Mus musculus: one gene and its partners. The main gene of each other region encodes a partner of the protein of the gene in region 4 in a complex. Links are inferred from orthologs where the notes say so. Each region holds a gene or a part of one and is shown on either strand. Other genes may lie near its edges. The genes, in order: Pold3, Pold4, Pold1, Pold2 and Rev3l.

What was found.
Region 1: Pold2 (region 4) and Pold3 share a complex: the UniProt entries of both Homo sapiens proteins name them as parts of the both the DNA polymerase delta and DNA polymerase zeta complex. The link is inferred for Mus musculus from reciprocal best matches to the Homo sapiens genes POLD2 and POLD3.
Region 2: Pold2 (region 4) and Pold4 share a complex: the UniProt entries of both Homo sapiens proteins name them as parts of the tetrameric DNA polymerase delta complex. The link is inferred for Mus musculus from reciprocal best matches to the Homo sapiens genes POLD2 and POLD4.
Region 3: Pold2 (region 4) and Pold1 share a complex: the UniProt entries of both Homo sapiens proteins name them as parts of the tetrameric DNA polymerase delta complex. The link is inferred for Mus musculus from reciprocal best matches to the Homo sapiens genes POLD2 and POLD1.
Region 5: Pold2 (region 4) and Rev3l share a complex: the UniProt entries of both Homo sapiens proteins name them as parts of the tetrameric Pol-zeta complex. The link is inferred for Mus musculus from reciprocal best matches to the Homo sapiens genes POLD2 and REV3L.

The regions. Positions count from the first base shown.
Region 1 is NC_000073.6:100,118,700-100,122,917, reverse strand, and holds the start of Pold3 (DNA polymerase delta subunit 3), read left to right. Parts: upstream 1-1,417; 5' UTR 1,418-1,494; coding exon 1,495-1,554; intron 1,555-1,555; exon of another isoform or gene 1,556-3,021; intron 3,022-3,188; coding exon 3,189-3,244; intron 3,245-4,218. UniProt on the Homo sapiens protein: Accessory component of both the DNA polymerase delta complex and the DNA polymerase zeta complex.
Region 2 is NC_000085.6:4,230,500-4,234,138, forward strand, and holds Pold4 (DNA polymerase delta subunit 4), read left to right. Parts: upstream 1-1,393; 5' UTR 1,394-1,592; coding exon 1,593-1,689; intron 1,690-1,915; exon of another isoform or gene 1,916-1,963; coding exon 1,964-2,053; intron 2,054-2,248; coding exon 2,249-2,360; intron 2,361-2,714; coding exon 2,715-2,739; 3' UTR 2,740-3,135; downstream 3,136-3,639. UniProt on the Homo sapiens protein: As a component of the tetrameric DNA polymerase delta complex (Pol-delta4), plays a role in high fidelity genome replication and repair.
Region 3 is NC_000073.6:44,538,812-44,542,324, forward strand, and holds part of Pold1 (DNA polymerase delta catalytic subunit), read right to left. Parts: intron 3,440-3,513; coding exon 3,293-3,439; intron 3,214-3,292; coding exon 3,088-3,213; intron 3,012-3,087; coding exon 2,843-3,011; intron 2,761-2,842; coding exon 2,679-2,760; intron 2,594-2,678; coding exon 2,464-2,593; intron 2,200-2,463; coding exon 2,033-2,199; intron 1,819-2,032; coding exon 1,714-1,818; intron 692-1,713; coding exon 551-691; intron 354-550; coding exon 243-353; intron 154-242; coding exon 1-153. UniProt on the Homo sapiens protein: As the catalytic component of the trimeric (Pol-delta3 complex) and tetrameric DNA polymerase delta complexes (Pol-delta4 complex), plays a crucial role in high fidelity genome replication, including in lagging strand synthesis, and repair.
Region 4 is NC_000077.6:5,875,447-5,879,737, reverse strand, and holds the start of Pold2 (DNA polymerase delta subunit 2), read left to right. Parts: upstream 1-1,481; 5' UTR 1,482-1,546; intron 1,547-2,074; exon of another isoform or gene 2,075-2,158; intron 2,159-2,748; 5' UTR 2,749-2,805; coding exon 2,806-3,025; intron 3,026-4,291. UniProt on the Homo sapiens protein: Accessory component of both the DNA polymerase delta complex and the DNA polymerase zeta complex.
Region 5 is NC_000076.6:39,829,652-39,833,164, reverse strand, and holds part of Rev3l (DNA polymerase zeta catalytic subunit), read right to left. Parts: intron 2,267-3,513; coding exon 2,184-2,266; intron 648-2,183; coding exon 522-647; intron 1-521. UniProt on the Homo sapiens protein: Catalytic subunit of the DNA polymerase zeta complex, an error-prone polymerase specialized in translesion DNA synthesis (TLS). Lacks an intrinsic 3'-5' exonuclease activity and thus has no proofreading function.

The DNA of each region.
Region 1 (4,218 bases), on a different chromosome or scaffold from region 4:
GCTCTCAATGCCTTCATTGTAACCAAACTTCAAGCAAAATTCATTTGCTGAGAGTCTATTACACGTGGGTGTTCTGACATTATGAATACAGTAAGTTTGAATTTTTATTTATTAATTATTTTGTGCATATACATGGGCCTGCATGTACCATGGTGTGTGGAGACCAAAGGATGACTCCAAGGAATCAGTTCTCTCCTGCCATCTTTATGTGGCTCCCTGGGACTGAACTCAGGTCATCAGGTCTGTGCTGCAAGCACTTTACCCACTGAGCTATCTCATTGGCCCCAAGATCATACTTAAAATAGTTTTTGTTTACACAAACCCTGTCTCAAAGTCCTTGCAGTTGTTTCCTAGTCACTCTTCCCATGAACAACATGAAGGTGGTTTGAAATGATGGGACCTCATCTTTTGTATGTGTGTGTGTGTATAAAGGGATAATAAAATCTAACAAGACTACTTGAGGATTAGGGTCACTGCTAGAGATGCCCACCACATGCTAGTTACTCAGTAAGTAAGTAATTGTGATATATCTGGGGAATATACATGAAACTAAAAGACTTTCTTCATCTCTTAATTCGTGGGAGGGAAAATTCCAAGGGATACTCTTCTCTGATTTGTTTTTGACCCTAAAACCTTTCAGTGTATTTGTAGACACAACTGTAATCTCTTTGACATGATCTTGGGTTTATTTACAGGCATCTGTTATGATTCTCTATGAAAACCACACAATGCATTTGCTGGGTTTCTATGAGACTAAATGAAATTTCATTTTCAAAGCACTTGCTCAATATGTTTGTCGTGTAACAACACAGTTACCAGCTATTATTAGTGTGATCGTGGTGAGCACAGCTTGAAGGTTTTATGTGTATCGTCTCACTTATAACTCCAGCCAAATAGAATGATTTGATTTCTCGTCTGCTCTTTTCCCCAGTCTTTTCACATCTTCCGGGAAACTCCTGGTTGACCCAAAGATCATGTCCCTAATCTAGTGACTCTTACTTGGTAGCTCTGGCTAGGTTGGAGCTCCATGGGTAGAACAGGGTGGTCTTCAGCTCACAAAGATCTGCTTGCTTTTGCACCACCACGCCTGACACCAACTCTTTTAAGCCACCCCTCCTCCCCCTCTTCCCCCTCCTCCCTCTCCTTTACAATGTAGGCTCCATGTGTACTCTTGGCCACAGCACTCCCCCGCCCCCAGCGGTGAAATATAAGGTTATGAGTCAGTCTACTTGTGGTAGCAGAGAAATCGCAACGTTCTCAGGTGCACACCGACAACCACGGGCTCGCGCCTCACTTCCGGTCGGTCTCGCTCCAACTTCCCCCTACATCAGCCCTGGCTGGCCTCTCACTAGTTTGGCCCTCACCCGCCGCCGTAGCGCGGCGCCTTGGTTGCCCTGGGAGACGACCTGTGACCCGAGAGTGAGCGAAGCTGTTTCCCGCCGGCGGGAGCTACGGCTGGGGCGGGTTGAGCGCGGGGCTCGAAGCCGCACCACCATGGCGGAACAGCTGTATCTAGAAAACATAGACGAGTTCGTCACGGACCAGAACAAGATCGTGAGGAGCTAGGACCACGGGGGTGGGGAAGGCGGGGCCGTGCGAGGCGGGTGTGCGGGGGACTGGGCCTGCCCGGTCGGCGAGGGGTCGCGACCCCCGGTGCCTGTGGCTTCTCGGGGACCGGCTGAGGTGGCCACTGGTCACCGCGAAACCCGCGTAGGGAGACACGCCCTGCGGGCAGAGCTTCTGGCGCGCGCCCAAGCCCCGGGGCCTTGGGCGGGATTGTGAGGTCCGGGGGCGTGGAGCCTGGGAAGCCAGCGGGGTTCGTGAGGCTTCCTTTCCCTGCTCTGTCGGGTGGTGGCCCCTCAAGACAGTTGAGACTGGCCGACTTTCATAGGCGACTGCCTGGTGCTTTACCCACCAGAGACAGTTTCCTCTTCCTGGAAATTTAAATATTGAAAGCAGCTTGACCCACCTCCTCGGGCTAGCGTAAAAATGAAGAGACTTGGGTGTGATGGACCTTTGCTGCTGTGAGCCCATGGACACAGTTTGGTACACCGACTCACACCTCCCGGGTCCTCCAGGCTTTTGTGTTATCCCTAGAAGTGGGATTTAGCCAAGGGTCAAATGACGTGTATAAACGCGTCAAGGGCCATTAGGGCTGGATAGATAAATTCTTGAATCCCAGGTCTGTCTCTTTCCCCTCTGCCTCTGTCTGCCACTCTGCCTCTGACCAATCTTTATTAGTCCTCTTATTGGGAGTGCATCGTTTAGCTTTGGAAGAAACAACAGACATACCGGGTCAGGGAAGGATGGAGGCTCGATGCCCCTAGTTCTTGAAATTACCCCATACTACATTTATCCATTTTTCTCTCTCTCTTTTTTTTTTTTTTTGATTCCCACACCACCTGTTCCTCTTAACATTTGAATAGTTGCAAATTTACTGAGAAGTTCCTGGGTTATGTGCTTTCAAGTAATGCTAGGTTTTAGATAAATTTTAGGATAGTTTTAGGTAGCTTCTTAAAGACAAGAGGGTCAGAGAGCTTTTAAGTAAGACAAGGAGTTTGAGCTAAATAATCTTTGGCTTGGCTTTGTAGACTCTTAAGACTTTTCTTATTATGTTTAGTGTCATGCGCGTGCGCGCGCGCACACACACACACACACACATAATTGTGCTATGTCACAATTATGGATGTCAGAGGACCAGTTCTCTCATTCCACCGTACGAATCCAACAAATCAAACCCAGGCTCTTTTTGTTTGTTTGTTTTTCGAGACATGGTTTCTCTGTATAACCTTGGCTGTCCTGGGAACTCACTCTGTAGACCAGGCTGGCCTTGAACTCAGAAATCCTCCTGCCTCAGCCTCCTAAATGCTGGGATTAAAGGCGTGTGCCACCACCGCCCGGCCAAACCCAGGTTCTTAAGGGTGTGGTAGCAAGTGCCTTTCCCCACTGCCCATCTCTCTGACCCACCTTTGTAGATTCTTTTGCATTGATCAGTCTGTGAAGCATCTTAGTGTTTGTAAGGTAAGTACCCTGGCCTTACTTGTCATATGGTTTTTTTCTTGTTGGTATCTGCTGTAGTTTACAGGACACAGCCATCCGAGAATAAGAGTCCCTAGGAACAGGCTCTTGGCACTTATCTGTACTCTGGAATCAGCTAATAAAACCTTAAAAATTGTTTTTTGTTTCAGGTGACTTACAAGTGGCTAAGCTATACACTAGGGGTTCATGTTAACCAGGCCAAACAGTAAGTTCATTTGACTGCTAATTTTAATAATATTGGAATTTTTCTTTCACTTTGTTTTTATTTATTATTTTCAGCATCATCTTTTTATTGTTTATTTGGAATTTTCACATCATGCACCCCACTCACACTCATTTCCCAGTCCTTCCAGGTCCAACACACACACAAATGAGTCCAATCTGAGTTGCCTGTATAGTCATGGGACATGGTCAGACTCCCAGTGGCCAGCCCCTTAAAGAAAACGTTCACTTTGTTTTAATTCTCATAGAACTAACTCTTAGGTTAGAACTGACTTTCTACCTGGGTCAATAGGAAAGAATATTACTTTCTCTGCCTTTTGACTACTTTTGTCTGTCTTTTGAACTGTGTGTGTTCATGTATGTAAATGTGTATGCACACAGGCTACAGGGCACAGGGCAAGGTCAGAGGACCGTCTTGGTTTCATTCCTGCCTTTCTGACCGGTTTGAGGTGGGGGTCTCTTGTTATTCTCTGCTGTGTACAGCACACTGGTTGGCCTGCAAGCTTCTGAGGATACTTTGGTCTCTGCCTCCCTCTCCCCACAGGAGATCTGGAAATACAGGAATATGCTACTTACCCAGCTTTGCTTGCTTGGGTTCTGGGGATCCGACCTCCGGTCCTCATGCTTGCTGGTGGGCCTTTGACCCAGTGAGTTTTTCCCCAGCCCTGTTTTTCCCGTAGATCAGTGGACTCGTATGCAAATGTGTTGTGATAGTTTGCAGCCAATTTTGTAGTGATTTGAATGAGAATGAGTCCCCCTAGATATTTGACCTCTTGGTCCCCAGTTGGTGGCACCTTCCTGGGAGGTTTAGCAGGTGCAGCCTTGCTGGAGGCACTGGAGGTGCTGGAGGCAGGCTTGGTTGTTTATGGCCTTCCTCCACTTCATGGTTACTTTCTCTGATTTATTGCTTGTGCTTGCATTTGAAGATGGGAGCTCTCAGCTTCCTACTCAGCTACT
Region 2 (3,639 bases), on a different chromosome or scaffold from region 4:
TGCACCCCTGGAAGGAAGAACCGGATGGGCTCTCCAGAGGGTGATTAGTGCTGGGTCAGTCCAAGTGCTGGTTCCCAGACTCCCACGGGCCAGCATTTTCACCCGCTGCCAGGAAGTTGGTGAGGGGGAGGTGGTAGTAGGGGTGAGTCAGTGATGACAGGAGCCCCAAAACAAAGGTCATGGGTAGAGAATTGAGAGACGCTGTTTACAGCAATTACCTCCTGAGGTCTTCTCCCAATGCCTACCATTCTCCTCCAGCTCTAAGGCATTCGTGCTCCTGCTCTCCTGTCCAGGACTAACGACTGTGTATGTCCCTCTCTCTACCGCGCAAGCCTGGGAGCTTCTGCCGCACACGGGAAGCTAGTTAGTTACACAGTAGCTGTTACTAAGAGCACTTCTGCAGCACACGGGAAGCTAGTTAGTTACACAGTAGCTGTTACTAAGAGCACTTCTGCAGCACACGGGAAGCTAGTTAGTTACACAGTAGCTGTTACTAAGAGCACTTCTGCAGCACACGGGAAGCTAGTTAGTTACACAGTAGCTGTTACTAAGAGCACTGATCACAATTTGCCTACACTTCCCACTTGCAAAAAAACTCTTTTGATATCTATTTTGAGTTAGCATGTGGGAGATGCTTAGAACTCGGCACATGGAAAGTCCAATATGAGGGTTGGGTTTATTGAAATTATTTTCTGCTCATGATACACATTCAGAAAAAAACAAAAACAAAAAAACAGAGCAGATCTGTCAGTTAAGAACTGGGGATATGAACCCATGGAGAATGGAGACTATACTTCTGGCGTCCTGCTTGGAATGGAATCTTCCTGACTAGCAAAGTGGACAGAGGCAGGCTGTGGGACTTGACAGCGGCCACAGCAACCGCATGCCTGGGCTGGGTGGACAGTGGCTCTGCCAGCAGACTGTGAGAAAGGAGCCTTCTGAGCTCATGAGTTTCTCCAGCAAGGTCTCCTGGGGCCAGTAAGAGCAGCAGGGAAGGACCTGGACTAGTCCAAACTCTCTTTGGACCTACAGATCTGATCCCACAGCGCTCTAGGGCCAACCGGCAGGAGAAAAAGGTTCTCAGGGGACTTAAAAACTGGCCATGGGGATTAGTGAGGCTGAAAAGAACATTTGCCTAGGAAGGAAAAACGGGAAGTGAGAGGCCGAGGATAACTCTCTATATGTCCCAAGGGACCCAAGTGGACCAATGAGAAACCCGAGGAGGTGGTGAAGTCTGGGGCATCTTGACAGGTTCTTGGTTCCGCCTAACCCCTCCTCACTCGAAACGCAGCAGCAGCTACCCCGCCCCCCGTCTTCTGCCGATTGCCATTGGCTAGAATTAAGGTCCCGCCCCGCAAAGGCCGTTTGCCATTTGCTTAGGTCTCTGATGTTTGCGTGCTTGTGGGGGCGGAAGACAGGCGTCATTCCCTGGAACCTAGGGACTTCCTCTCTCTGCTTGTCTGGGTCAACTTGTCTGTCCATTGCTGGCCCATCTCTCTCTGGCCCCCTCTCTCACTCTCAGCAGCTGTCTCTCACAGGCCCGCTGCCCTGCCTTTTCTTTGCCTCCTGCTCCGCCTGCCTGGGTGGCCGCCATGGGTCGGAAGCGGTTCATCACTGACTCCTATCCTGTTGTGAAGAAGAGGGAGGGGCCCCCTGGGCACAGCAAGGGAGAGCTGGCACCCGAGCTAGGTCTCTAAAATGTGGGGGTGGCAGGAAGAGTGGACATGAAGTGACCAGAAAGGACTCTGTGTGTGTGTGTGTGTGTGTGTGTGTGTGTGTGTGTGTGTGTGTGTGTTGGCTAAAAAGGGAAGCTAGCATGTCTCGCACTTCCGATGAGCTGTCTGTCTGCTGGATGGCAAAGGCAAATGGGTGGGGAGATTGCCAGGATATAGAGTCACAGCTCTAAGTCCAGGGTAGGGCAAAGGCCTGGATGTGCCTGAGGAGCCACCACATGTTATTGCAGGGGAAGACACCCAGTCCCTCAGCCAGGAGGAAACAGAGCTGGAGCTGCTGAGGCAGTTTGACCTGGCCTGGCAGTATGGGCCTTGTACAGGTGAGCACCCCATTTCCAGTCCCTCCCATCAGGCACATCTCTGAATCAGTTCTGTTATCAATGTGTCTCAAAAGTAATCCTGCCTAGCTCTTGGACACTGTCTCCTGAAACTGACTATGGAGGCTCAAGAAACTGCCGTCCATGTCCACTATCCTGGATTCTCCTGCCTATCCTGTCTTCTTTTCCTGATGGCAGGTATCACAAGGCTGCAGCGCTGGAGTCGGGCAGAGCAGATGGGCTTGAAGCCCCCCCTAGAGGTGTACCAAGTGTTGAAGGCACACCCTGAAGACCCTCACTTCCAATGCAGGTCAGGATAGGCTGGGACAGCTTTCAGGGGAACCAGGGACTTCTCCAGGAGCTGCCACCCTCTTGGTCTACGTAGGGGCTACCTTGACTTGGAGAAGTGGGAACAGACTTAGACGGTCCTTCCTGTCAAGCAAGAAGAGTCTGGCTCGAGATAGATCTCGATAATGATCCTTACCTCTATGAGCTGATGGTGGGGGACGGGTATATCTAGGGCCCATGGAGCTATCCATGAGTCCTGAGGTGTTCACCAGAGCCACAGGATTGTAGGCAGTAAGTAAGTAAGAACTAGAGACAGTCCATCAAGGAACAGAACTGATGTGGCTATGACTTCCTTCTCCCACCCTGTCTTCCACAGCCTGTGGCATCTCTACCCACTCTGAGGTACCCCCACGTTGTCCTTCTCTGGGCACCTCCTAGCCACCAAGAACTTCAGGACAGACATCATGGCCTGCTCTGCTCATTCCAACCTTGGAGAAACAGCAGGCTGACTGTGGAGGTCTTCCTGGTTCAGCTTCTTCTCCATCTAAACAGCAGGCTGCTGAAGCTCCTGGGACCTGTGAAGCTGAGCACCTCCACGCCCTAATCATGACCACCAGATGCCCACCCGCCACACCCCTGACCTACGGTGTGGCAAATCCAGCACAGGCTGGCATAAACCAGATGTCGGCAGATAACCTAAAGGGCCCACCTTGGGCATCTAGCTGAGGGCACAGATGAGTGAGTTATTGGATCAAGGAGCTCACTAATGCTTACAATAAAGTACATTAAGCCTGAGATTCTGACCTTACATCTCTTAATATGCTCTAATCTAGCCGGCAGTTCCCAAACTGTAAGTGGGCTGGAGAGCCAGCTACAGGCTTTTTTTTTTTTTTTTTTTTTTTTTTTTTCTTTACTTAGGCTGGCTACAAACTCAGAAATTTGCCTGCCTCTGCTTCCTGAATGCTGAGATTAAAGGGTCCCAATATGGGGCGGGGGACAGTGCTGTGACTGGGATGTAAAGTGATTAATTAATTAACTAATTAATTAATGGGGAAAAGGTTTCACTATGTAGTTCTGTTTGTCCTAGAACTCATTATATAGACCAGGCTGGCTTCTAACTCACAGAAATCTACTTGCCTCTGTCTCCCAAGTGCTGGGGTTAAAGGCTTGTGTTTCTATACCACAAGGCTTCCATATCTATTTTTCTAAGGCAGTCTTTTCAAAAGCTGAGTGGCCTCTGGTATTCCCTGGTAGAAACTCACTCTAAGTTTCCTTCCCTGACCAGCCAGCAGAAAATCTGC
Region 3 (3,513 bases), on a different chromosome or scaffold from region 4:
CCGGGTGAGCAGGTACCCAAGGGGTACACCCGTGACACGCGCCATCTCCACATTATTCACCAGCACCATAAGGCGCTCTAGTAGTCGGAGTGGCAGAAAGGCGTCCTTCAGGCAGTACACGGCCAGGCGGCGGCGCGTCTGTTCGTTCCCATTCTGGGGATGGGCATGTGGGGTCAGGGGCTCAGTCAGTCAGGGGCTCAGCCAGGAGGGAGGCGGGGAGGGACTTGGTGGAGTGGCGGCACCTGCAGGTCGGTGATGATGCTGTGCTGAACGTCCTCCTTCTGCTCGCCCAGGAAGTGGAAACTCACAGCGTTGAGCGTGTAGGAGCGGAGCTTGTGTTCCCGAAGCAGCACCTGCGCAGGTTGGGGTGGGGCGGGGCCTCAGAGGTGTGGGGAAGGGTATCTCCACGCAACCTCAAGAGTCGTGGGATGGGGTCTAGAGGGTCTGTGGTACTTAGGTGGGTGGGTCAGGGTGCCGCCTCAGGTGGGTGGAGCTTCTGTTTAAGGCAGCGTGTTGGGGGCTGGGGAGGGCGAGTGGGGTTCCTACATACCTGCAGCATATCCATCTGAACGCGACCCACCATGCTGATCACCTTACTGTCCCGCCGGCCGACCTGCCTTGATTGGAAGGAGGAGTCACGGATGTTGGAGCGGAGACCAGTCACGCGGCCCAGGAAAGGGAAGCGGTCCACCTGAGGAGCATGGGGAGAGCCTTGCTGTGGTGCAGACCTGTCAGCTCAACTCTGAATCTAGCCTTAGGCCCTCAGAACAGGGACAGAGACCAGCCATGGCACTCCTGGGTCTGGAGAAGATGAGCTGCAGGCGGAGACTGCTTGGGTGGGACGAGGTATTGATCAGGGACAGAGTTGAGAGCTATAGCCCCGGGGAGACTGAGAGACTGGGGGCCTGATGGGCTATAGGTAGAGACATGGACTATTGGGGGAGGGCAGAGAAGACAACAGGGGCGGCGCTGGGGTACAGTCTGGCAGAGAGAGGGAGTCTTAGAGGAGAGGGGCTGAGGGTGAGGTGCCCAGGACACAATGGTAGGGTCTCCCTGCAGCCAGGCAGTGAAGTCGGCTCTGCCTACTCATCACCAAATGGGCTACAGCTGCAGAAAGCAGGAAAGTGATACAGTGTATCCTGTTCGGGCAGATTCCCCTCTGTGCATCGCCCAGGACCCCTCTTGTAACAGAGCTTGCCCTAGAAAAAGGACGCAGGGAGACTTGACTGAGGCACAGAAGAAAGGCCCAAGCAGATGCAGCCCAGGAAGGCCATTAGAACCAGGCCCAGGAGGGGAGGGCCTGCCTGCCCTCAGGCTCACTAACACCCAGAGGGTCACCTCTGCAGCCTCCTGCACCGGGTAAGTGTGCAGCTGGCTACAGTGGAAGTGTGAAAAGGCTCACTCTTCCCTTTCCATAGCACCCAGCCTTTGCCGCGCTCCAAAGCATGTACCCCTTTCCTCTTCCATGCCCCCGTTTCCCCTTCCCCCTTGCCAGTGAATTCTAAAGGAGGCCTGGCTATGGAGGCAGAGACAGTGACGCAGTGACGGTGATGGTGTGGAGGGCCGGACTCTCAAGGCGCCCGCCTCCTGTCCACAGCGACGAATTTCCGGCTCCAGCTAAAGTGAGGTAACGCACACCTGGACTCCAGAGCAGCCGGCTGGCCCGGGGCAAGGATGGCCTCGAGGGATGGGAAAAGATCCAGCTTCCCTCACCTTTAGGGCCTGTGCCCGAGAGATGAGGTATGGGAGGTCAAAGTTCTGAATGTTGTAGCCGGTGATCACGTCAGGGTCCATGGCAAGGATGAAGTCGGCCCAGGCCTGTGGAGGGGACGGACACAAAGGCCAACCAGGCTGTCTTTACCTCAGCTACCTTCTCTTCAGAATATCCAAGACAACCTCCGCACTTGCAAAAACGCCGTGGAACTCAGGAAAACACACAGCCCAACCCCGAGGACACGGTGTCGTCCTAGAGAAGGGTCACTGGCATGGCTGGGGACACAGGGCAGGTGGCACCTGAGGAGGGAGGACCCACCTGGAGCAGGTCTTCTTCCCGCTCATAGCTCTGCACTTTGGCACCCAGGATGGGGGCACAGGGCCGCAGCGTGAGTGCCAGACGCAAGAATGGCTCCGGCTCCCCCCAGCGCAGCCCCAGAGAACAGATCTGGATCACGGGGTCACGCTCAGGCTCAGGGAAGATGCCTGCAGAGGGGAAGACACAGGGACCTCATTCCTGCTCGTCCCCTGTCCCGGTCCATCCACGGTCCCCACACCTGCTCATCCACAGCCTCTCAGCTCCAGCCCCTGTTCCAGCCACATGGGTGGGACAGCCCCAGGCCCTGGTGCCTTTGTGCTCAGGGCTCTCTCTGTAGGGAGCACTCCTTCCACCCACTCACCCCTCCACAGGGGCCTGGCACATCACCAATGCCCAGACAGAGAGAAGGAGCCCAGGCTCCCGGGACAAACCTTTTCGGCCAGCACACTCGATGTCGAAGCTAAGCACACGCAGGGGTGCAATGCGCTGCCACTGCCCCTCCGGTGGGTGACTGATCACATCTGACCACAGCACGTCCACCTCCAGCTGACACAGGGTGGCCTGGGGAAAGGTAGCGGGTTGCACAAGGTAGGAGCGACATCGGCACCAGGTCCTGGCTCCCCACCCCGCCCCGGGGTGCTCTTACCTTCTTCTCCGCCCTCCGAACGTACTTTCCAGCTGGCAGCTCCAACCAGTTGCATCCCACAATGTCAGCATCCACCATGAACCTGGAAGAGTGGCGTGTCAGTTGGCAAGGGCCGCCTGAGGGGACTGAGGCGGGAGTAGGGCAAAGGGGAGACAGGACAGCACCGGATCTCAAAGTCCACGTTGGCTTCGTAGGGTGCGAAGCTCGGGGTGCCCAGGCCTGGCACTCGGACACCCTGTTCCAGAAGGCGGCGGGCTGGTGCCATAAGGCGGGGTAGTGCCAGGGTGATGCGGAGAAATGGAGAAGGGCCATGACCGTGGTACCCAAACATGCCTGCGGAGAAAGGAGGTTGGCACACACCTACCAGGGCACCCTACCCCCACCCCCCACCCCCCCAGGCCACACTCACTCTCACGGGAGCATAGCTCTATTGCCAGCACTGCCGGCCCTGAGAGCTCCTTCCCACCGCGCTGGTCCCGGCTGATGGCTGCGTTCAGCTCCTGCTGCAGCTCACTCAGGTGCTCGGCCCCAAAACCTGGTGTAGGAGGCCAGTCAGAAGAGCAAAGGAAATTCTGGAGTCCAGGAACAAGGCCCTCAGGTCAGGGAACACTCACCAGGAGGCGCGGGGGTGTAGAAGTAGGGGGCAAAGCCCTGTATGTGGCAGCAGACGGAGAAGCCTTCATCGGTGACCCCAAAGGCCCTCAGTATGGGCACTGAGTTCCGGGATGGCAGGGGCCCTTCTGGCAGGGGTGGTGCTGAGCCTAGGGGAGGGGTCCGAGAACACCCCTCAGGACCGGAGGCCACACTGAAGGATGTCACTGATGCCTCGGGGCCT
Region 4 (4,291 bases):
TTCAGAAGGCAGAGTGTTTGCTTAGCCTGCATGAAGCCCCGGGGCTCACTCTCCAGCACTGCATAAAACTCAGGGTAGTGGCACGTGCCTGTAACCCCAGCACTCCAGAGGTGTAGACAGAAAGATCAGGAGTTTAAGGCCCTGTTGCTACACCATGGAATATATTAGACCCGTCTCAAGGAAAAAGTAGAAATAAAGATATTCTGGGATAAAATTTGATGAGTCCATTTCCTTAGACATTTACTGTAAGGAATCCTAAGGAGAGTCCTGCAGACCAAAGGGAACAGCAACCAAAGAGTAAATGGAGAGCTCCAGTCAAGGGGCTGCACAACAACGAGCTCTGTGTCATTGTAACTTTGGATTTTAATTCTACAAAGTGGTTTCAAATCCATCAAATGGGGTTTGTTCCTGGAACACAAGAACGTTGCAACATAATCAAATATGCAACAGGCTACTTGAGACAGTAGGCAAAAATCCGCACTCAGCCCAGCTTACAAAGGAAAAAATACTCAACAAACTGAAACATTAAAAACAAATGATTTAGCCGGGGGTGGGGGTGCACGCCTTTAATCCCAGCACTTGGGAGGCAGAGGCAGAGGCAGGTGGATTTCTGAGTCCGAGGCCAGTCTGGTCTACAAAGTGAGTTCCAGGACAGCCAGGGCTATACAGAGAAACCCTGTCTCGGGGGGAAAAAAATGATTTAATTCATTATTAAAACAGGAACGAGGGAAACCTTGTCTCAAAAAGCAAAAACAAACAAAAACAGAAACAAGGGGCTGGAGAAAGCTCGGTTGAGAGCTCTTTCAGAATGGCTCACAACCATTTGTAATTCCAGTTCCAGGTGACACGGACGCTCTCTTCTCGCCTCCGAGGAGACTGACCTCACATGCGTGCAGGCAAAACACACCCACACACAAAACAAAACAAAATAAATTCAAAATAAAACAAAAAAACTTAGTAAGCCAGAAGAAACCTACCTTAAGTAATAAGTTTCAGACTGAGTAATTAGGCAATTTTAAAAAGGAGCAATGTTACCACTGAAGTCTGATGCACTTGCAGTCAGGGTGTCTTAGTGTGAATTCTAGCTTTTCTCACTAGCTGGGTCATTTTGCCTGTTTCCCTGCCTGTGAGATGGGAGAAATTGTTCATGCTTCCAAGGGAATCTGAGAAGTCAGGGTGAGAATCACAGCGCAGGATAGAGTGGGAGGGAAGCTTCAGCCACACAGGAGCCACCAGACCCCCAGCGCTCGGGGAGAGCAGCATGAGCCAGGCGCCCAGCCTCACTACGGCCCACGCTACCCAAGGAGTTCACCCGATGAGGCCCAGCCGCAAACACCGCATGCGCACAGGAAACCCAGTGCTAAGTGATGGGTTGTCCCGGGAACCGGAGGCGTGACTCCGCGTTTCCTCGGTCCAGAGGCGGGGCGCACGGGGATTGGCTGGATGAAGCGTGCAGCGATGGGCGGGATGGGGCGGGAGGCGATTGGCTGGATGCGCCGATGGGCGGGACGGGCGCGCAGAGATTGGCGGGATGCGGCGTGGCGCGGTGAGTGTGCTGCTGAGCGGGGTTAACGTGGGTCCTGGGTCAGACTTGGCGGTACCTGGACAGCGGGCCGGGGTCTTGAGGGTGCTTCGAACTGTAACATGGGCCCGAGCTGGGCGTGTCTGCTTCGGGGCAGGTCTCCCGTCGGGTCCGGCCTGGAGCACCGTGTGGGCCGCTGCCACCACCGTGCGTTTTTGGCTTACATCCAGTTTACATGTGCCCATTTGGCAAATTCATAGGGTCCGCTCCCTAAGCCAGAGCTGCGCATTAAAGAAAGCCGAACCAGCTAGGGGAATTTGAACTTTGTAATAGCTGTACCAAAAAAAAAAAAAAAAAAGTAAAATGAAAAAGAAAGCTGTGTTCAAAACTTCCGTTACTACATCCAGCCTGTTGTCGTCTCAACTACGCATGAAGAATATGTTGAGATACTTTATACTAAAGTCCGCTGTGCATCCATCCCCAAGCACATCTTAGTGGGAAGGGGTGCAATACAAGAAAACAAACCTCTGCGCTGCCGGAGCTTAGGCAACAGTTGGAGGAGGCAAAGTAAATGCTTGAGAGATGATAATGATGCAGACAGTTGAAGTAGCAATGCAGTCAATTAGATATGGGAAGGTGAGTTTTAAGGAAAGACTTGAAAGGGAAGAGCCAGTAAGCCTTGGGGAAAAGGAGAGGACCCAGCAGGAGTAGAGAGGCCTCTACTTGGAGCCCCTGCTGTGGAAGGGACACTTGGAAGGAGAAACAGATAGGAGGGGGGAGCTGTTCTTAGAGGCCCAGAGCTGATCTTACAGGTCGTGGTAAGAACTTGGGGTTTTATTTACTGAAAAGCAACCTTTGGGGGGTTTTGAGCAAAACAGGGGCAGCTTTATGCTTTATTTTTTATCACTAATTATATTATGACAGGCTTCTTCAGTGATGCCTGATAGCATCCCTAGAGGTAGCAGAGGTCCCAGGGAGCTGGGCAGAAGCAGATCAATAATTCCATTTGAGGGTATGCAGAATTTGAGACCCTGGTGATTGGGTAGAAATGTGGAGAGGAGGAGGTGATGAACAAGGTTTGGAACGAGCTCCAGGTTGTATCTGACTAGGTTATAGGATGACACCTCCGGACACATGTGTGCACATTGTGGACAGCGTGGTTGGGACACTAGGGGAGCTTTGGGTACAAGAAGGGATTGCAGGAATGCCTTTGTGTGTCTCTGCAGTGATAACTCCTCGGCCTGGACACAGCTGCTTGGACCAAACAAGCCAGGAGTGCCGCCATGTTCTCCGAGCAGGCAGCACAGAGGGCCCACACTCTGCTCGCCCCGCCCTCTGCCAGCAATGCCACCTTTGCCCGGGTACCTGTGGCAACTTACACCAACTCCTCACAGCCCTTCCGACTGGGAGAGCGCAGCTTTAACCGGCAGTACGCCCATATTTATGCCACCCGCCTCATCCAGATGAGACCGTTCCTGGTGAGCCGGGCGCAGCAACACTGGGGTAAGTTTGGGGTACGCTGCTCCCAGCAGCCCAGCAGCTAGAACTAGGACCTTATCTAACCTGGAATACTTTCCAGCTACCATGGAATGGCCCCTTCAGCTCCCTGCTTCTTCTTAAAAGTGAGGATTAAATTAACCTGTGTGGTTAAAGTTGGGTTTGGCCCAGAGTCTGGTCAGAGGTAAGGGCTAGGTTCTGGCAGTGATGGCTACTGTTCCATCCATGGAGGAAATGGTCTTCCTATCCTTATTGTCTTCAGTGTGAATTGGTCACTGGTGTGCACCCTTTAGCTAGAGAGCTCCTCATAGCAGCAGGCTTGGCACCTTGGTCTTTGAGGGATGGACACACCCAGGCCATAGCAGAGCCACAGCAGGTGGGAGTGTGGAATCTGCAGTTTATGTTGGCATCCAATGCTTCTGTGTGGTGTTAGCCCTTTTCTTCTGTGGATGGAGCTCACGGTGGAGCTCTGAGGCATGCTCCTGGCTCTTCCAGGGCAGGACTGCGGTTCTGGCCCAGCCTCCACTTCGCCCTGCCTCCTCAGCAGTTTGTCCCAGGATTGGTCTGTGCTGATGAGTCCCTGGAACTCTCTGGAACTTGCTTTCCTTCTTCCTGCCCAGCGTGGCTTTCTACATCTTTCATGCTGGGCGTGTGGAGCCTTCACACGTGTTCTGGTTTTCCTCCTGGGGATGTTGAATGAACAAGGCTGCTAACTCCACAGAGAATAGAGTGGGCTGGGGTGGAGGGGACACAGAGGTGAAGGATCGGGCAGAGCAGGGGCTGGCATGAGAATCCAAAGTCTTAGCTAGGCCTTTAATCTTAGTACTGGGGAGGCAGAGGCAGGTGGATCCCCGTGAGTTCAAGGCCAGCCTGGTCTATGGAGTGAGCTCCAGGACAGCCAGAGTTATTTCATAAGACCCTGTCTGGAAAATAAAAGACTGCAGAGTCTTAAGGACATGGTAGTTGTCAGCACAGAGCATGTGACAGGCATGTAGGTAATATACTTCAGTTACTTCCCGTGTCCATGGTAACAAAGTACTGTATGTAAACAGGGGACTTAGGACAACACACATGTATTCTCCTATGGTTCTGGAGGTGTAAAGTCTGAAATCAAGTCAGCAGGGCTGATTTCTTGTAGAACAGTGCCTCTCAGCCTTCCTAATGCTGCGGCCCTTTAATGCAGTTCCTCATGTTGTGGTGACCCCCAACCATAAAGCTATTCTCATTACTGCTTCACGGCTGTGTTTTTTGTACTGTTTTGAATTGTAATAT
Region 5 (3,513 bases), on a different chromosome or scaffold from region 4:
GGCGCTAGGATCTGAAGCAGCAAGCATCTCAGTGACTGAGCCATCTTCTAAGCATCCCCATGCCCCAGAATGTTTTCTTAGAAACTTATATCCTATAGGTTTTATTGTTAATAATTAGCACACATTTAACTTAGTAAACACAAAAACTTTAAGGGAAAAACCTCTGTCCTATAGCCAAGTAAAACAAAACAACCAATTTAATTAGGAAGAATGAACATGTATTAAGGGTAAAGAGAAGACTTGTATACATAATTCTAAAATTTCAAAATATTTTCTAATTTAATTTCTATAAACTAAATTTTAGTTATTAATTTTGCAAAAATGTGAGAATATAAATCAATCTCAGTAACTGGTCAATATTTACTTTTTTCTGTTTTACACAAGTACAGTAGAATAGCAAGATGGAGATCAACAAAGAGAATTTAATATATCCCTTTCTGGTTAAACATTTCCATCCTTGTCCTATGGACAAATCCTGCTAACTAAGCATAGTGTGTGCAGCCTTAAAGCTGCAGTTTTACCTCGTGTAAAGCCTTTGCCTCCTGTAAGTTCTGTATGCTGACTTTGAAACCGTAGGTATTGTTTAAGGACGGTCCATCAATCTGAGAAGTTTCTTTCTTTGGAGTATTTACTGCCGCAAACTGATTCTATTTAAAAAAAAAAAAAAAGGCACATTCAGAAAGGGCATAAGCAACCATTCTTTCTTTGGATTATTCTTGCTTAAACATTTTATGTACTTAGTAATAAATAATGAACATGATAAACATAAAGATTCTCTTTAAGTTTAAGAAAAAGTTTATTAACATTCATTTTATTTTAGTAACTGTAGAATAGGATGCAATCTATAAACAAACCCTGATTGACAAGCCCCAATCCTGAAAGCAGTGGTCAGGCAGAGCTCACATATACTTATATCATTTACACTACATCACTACATGGATATGGACCTTGACCTTTCTTGAAAGAACATCAAGTATTTAACATTTACAACTGCTTGGCTAACATTTGCAAATGGTGCACCTTACCCCACTCTACACATATTGGAGAAAAGCTTTCAAGCATTTAGAATAGACACTTCCTATTTCTTTTACAATTTTCTTCTTTTCTTGCTGCCCCCCCCCTCTTTTGTTAGCCATGTCTCATGCTACTGCCCAGATTGGCCTAGTACTCATGGTGATCCCTGTCTCAGACTCCCCAATGCTGGGATTACATGTGTGACCAACCATATCCAGCTCTCTCTGTTCTTAAAATACCTCTTATGCTATTTAAGTAGATTAACCATTTTATGTAACATGTTGACTTATGTTTACAATGCACTGCTACTTGTTTTTAATATCAATAGGTTATAATTCAAAACCTTTATAAATCAAAGTTTGTAGTATAGCCTCAGTATAAAAATACATCTTATATGTAATGACCTTTCTGAGTAGTAGATAATATGGAAGTGGTTTCTGTCATTTATTTCCAAAGATAATGTCTAATATGTATAGAAGTTCTACCTGACTACTGCTTTCATACTTCTCAATTAAGAACTATCATATCTTTAGTATTTGAATAAGGACAGTTATAATTCCTCAACTTCAATAATACATAATGCTGCTTTCTTTTGTAACTTGGTGAAGAAAATTAAAAATTAAGTAATATTTGGGAAAAAACCCAAAGAAAAAAATATATTTTTGTTGAGATTTAAAAAAAAAAATCACTTATTTAGTCAGGTGGTGGGCGTACACGCCTTTAATCCCAGTACTTGGGAGACGGAGGCAGGTGAATCTCTGCTCGTTTGAGGCTAGCCTGGTCTACAGAATGAGTTCCAGGACAGCTGGGGCTCTATTACACAGAGAAATCCTGTTTCAAAAACAAAACAAAACAAAACCAAACAACAGAACACCAACTCAAGCAACTGAACCATTCCTTAAGCTCTGCTGTGATAAGATGCTCTGATGCTGTTACCAGCTAATGTATATGTATCGGCATAACCTACATTCTGGCTGTCATAGTCACTGTCTCTGGAATATTTGCATTTACACATAAGAATCTTTTCTATCCCAACAATAAAAAACTAGATTTTTCTCAAAGATGTGTAAATAATGATGGCAAAAATAATACACATTAAGTTAGTACACAGAGAGCTCTGAAGCGCAGACTTGGCCTTGCACTGAGCTGTAGGTGTCTGGCACAGTTACCTCCACTTGCGTTGTCAGGAGAACTCTCCTGAGACCATCAGCATCACTTCCTTTCTTATTATACAACTTCTGGGTTTTTGGTTCTGTAGAAAGAAATTTCATTTTTAACTTGTACATCTGCTTCTCTTTCTTAAAGCAAATTTTGTTGTTTCAATCAAATATCATTTGTGAATACTGCTATATGCATTTTTTCAGATTTCATAATTTTAAAATGAAATTAAAACCTCCAATTTCTACAAAATACTTCATACTTCTACATTTTAAAATAAGCACATTTATGTTTTACTACTGAGCTAGAAAACTTAGTCATTACTCTTGGGGCTAATTCACTCATTTATCATGTGTTTCTGATGAGGAGGGAGTGACATAGTTTCTTTTGTATTCTAGAAAGAATTGTATATGGAAGTGAAATGACAACAGTTTCCCTTATCTGTGCTGATTGTTCTGGAACCTCTGGCTTCTGTTTACACTGTTTTGCTCTACCTACCTACCCCCATAATAATAGCTTTTAATTCATAAACTAGGCCCAGTAAGATTAACAAACCCAGTAATAAAACAGAATTATAATATACTCTAATAAGTTACATGCATGTTAGCTCTTTCTCAAACATTCTTATTTTCCCCACTGTTTCAAAAAGACTGTGTTTTCCTGTTCCCCTTGGCATCTATGAATCTATAAATGGTCAGCACCATTACTTCTATGCTCCAGAGCCATGAAGTAAAATAAAGGCTATTTGAACATGAGTGCTCCAATCCCACAACAGTTGGATGGAGTACTGAGACAACTACTAAATGATGAAAAAGGGTATCATGGATAGAATGCATACATCAGACAAAGAGATGGTTCATATTTCATGATATTCAAAATAGCACATGACTTAAAACTTATGGATCATGTACTTACAGAGTATTATAAGAGTATTTTTGGACTGCAGTTGTCTGTATGCAACTGAATTTCCTACAAACCAAATTCTGAGTGAGGGAGGAACTAATTGAGAATTTATATCTATCTAATTAAAGCTTGGTGTCTTTGAACTGAAATATGTGTAGTAGGTACACATAAATTATTTCTTCTGATTGCCATGCACCGAGAGTGTCTAAGAAGGCCTGTAGACACTTAGGCCAGAGATGATAATAAGCCACATAAGGTTGTGGTGGCAGAGATAAAATGAAAGAACTTGGTAATGGATTGAAAATCAAGGTGCTTACCAAGACAATCAGGTGGTGCTACATATATATTGTGTCTGACTCTGGTGACTGACGGGGTCATAGTACTATTCACTGAGAGAGAGAGACAGAGACAGAGAGAGAGAGAGAGACAGAGAGACAG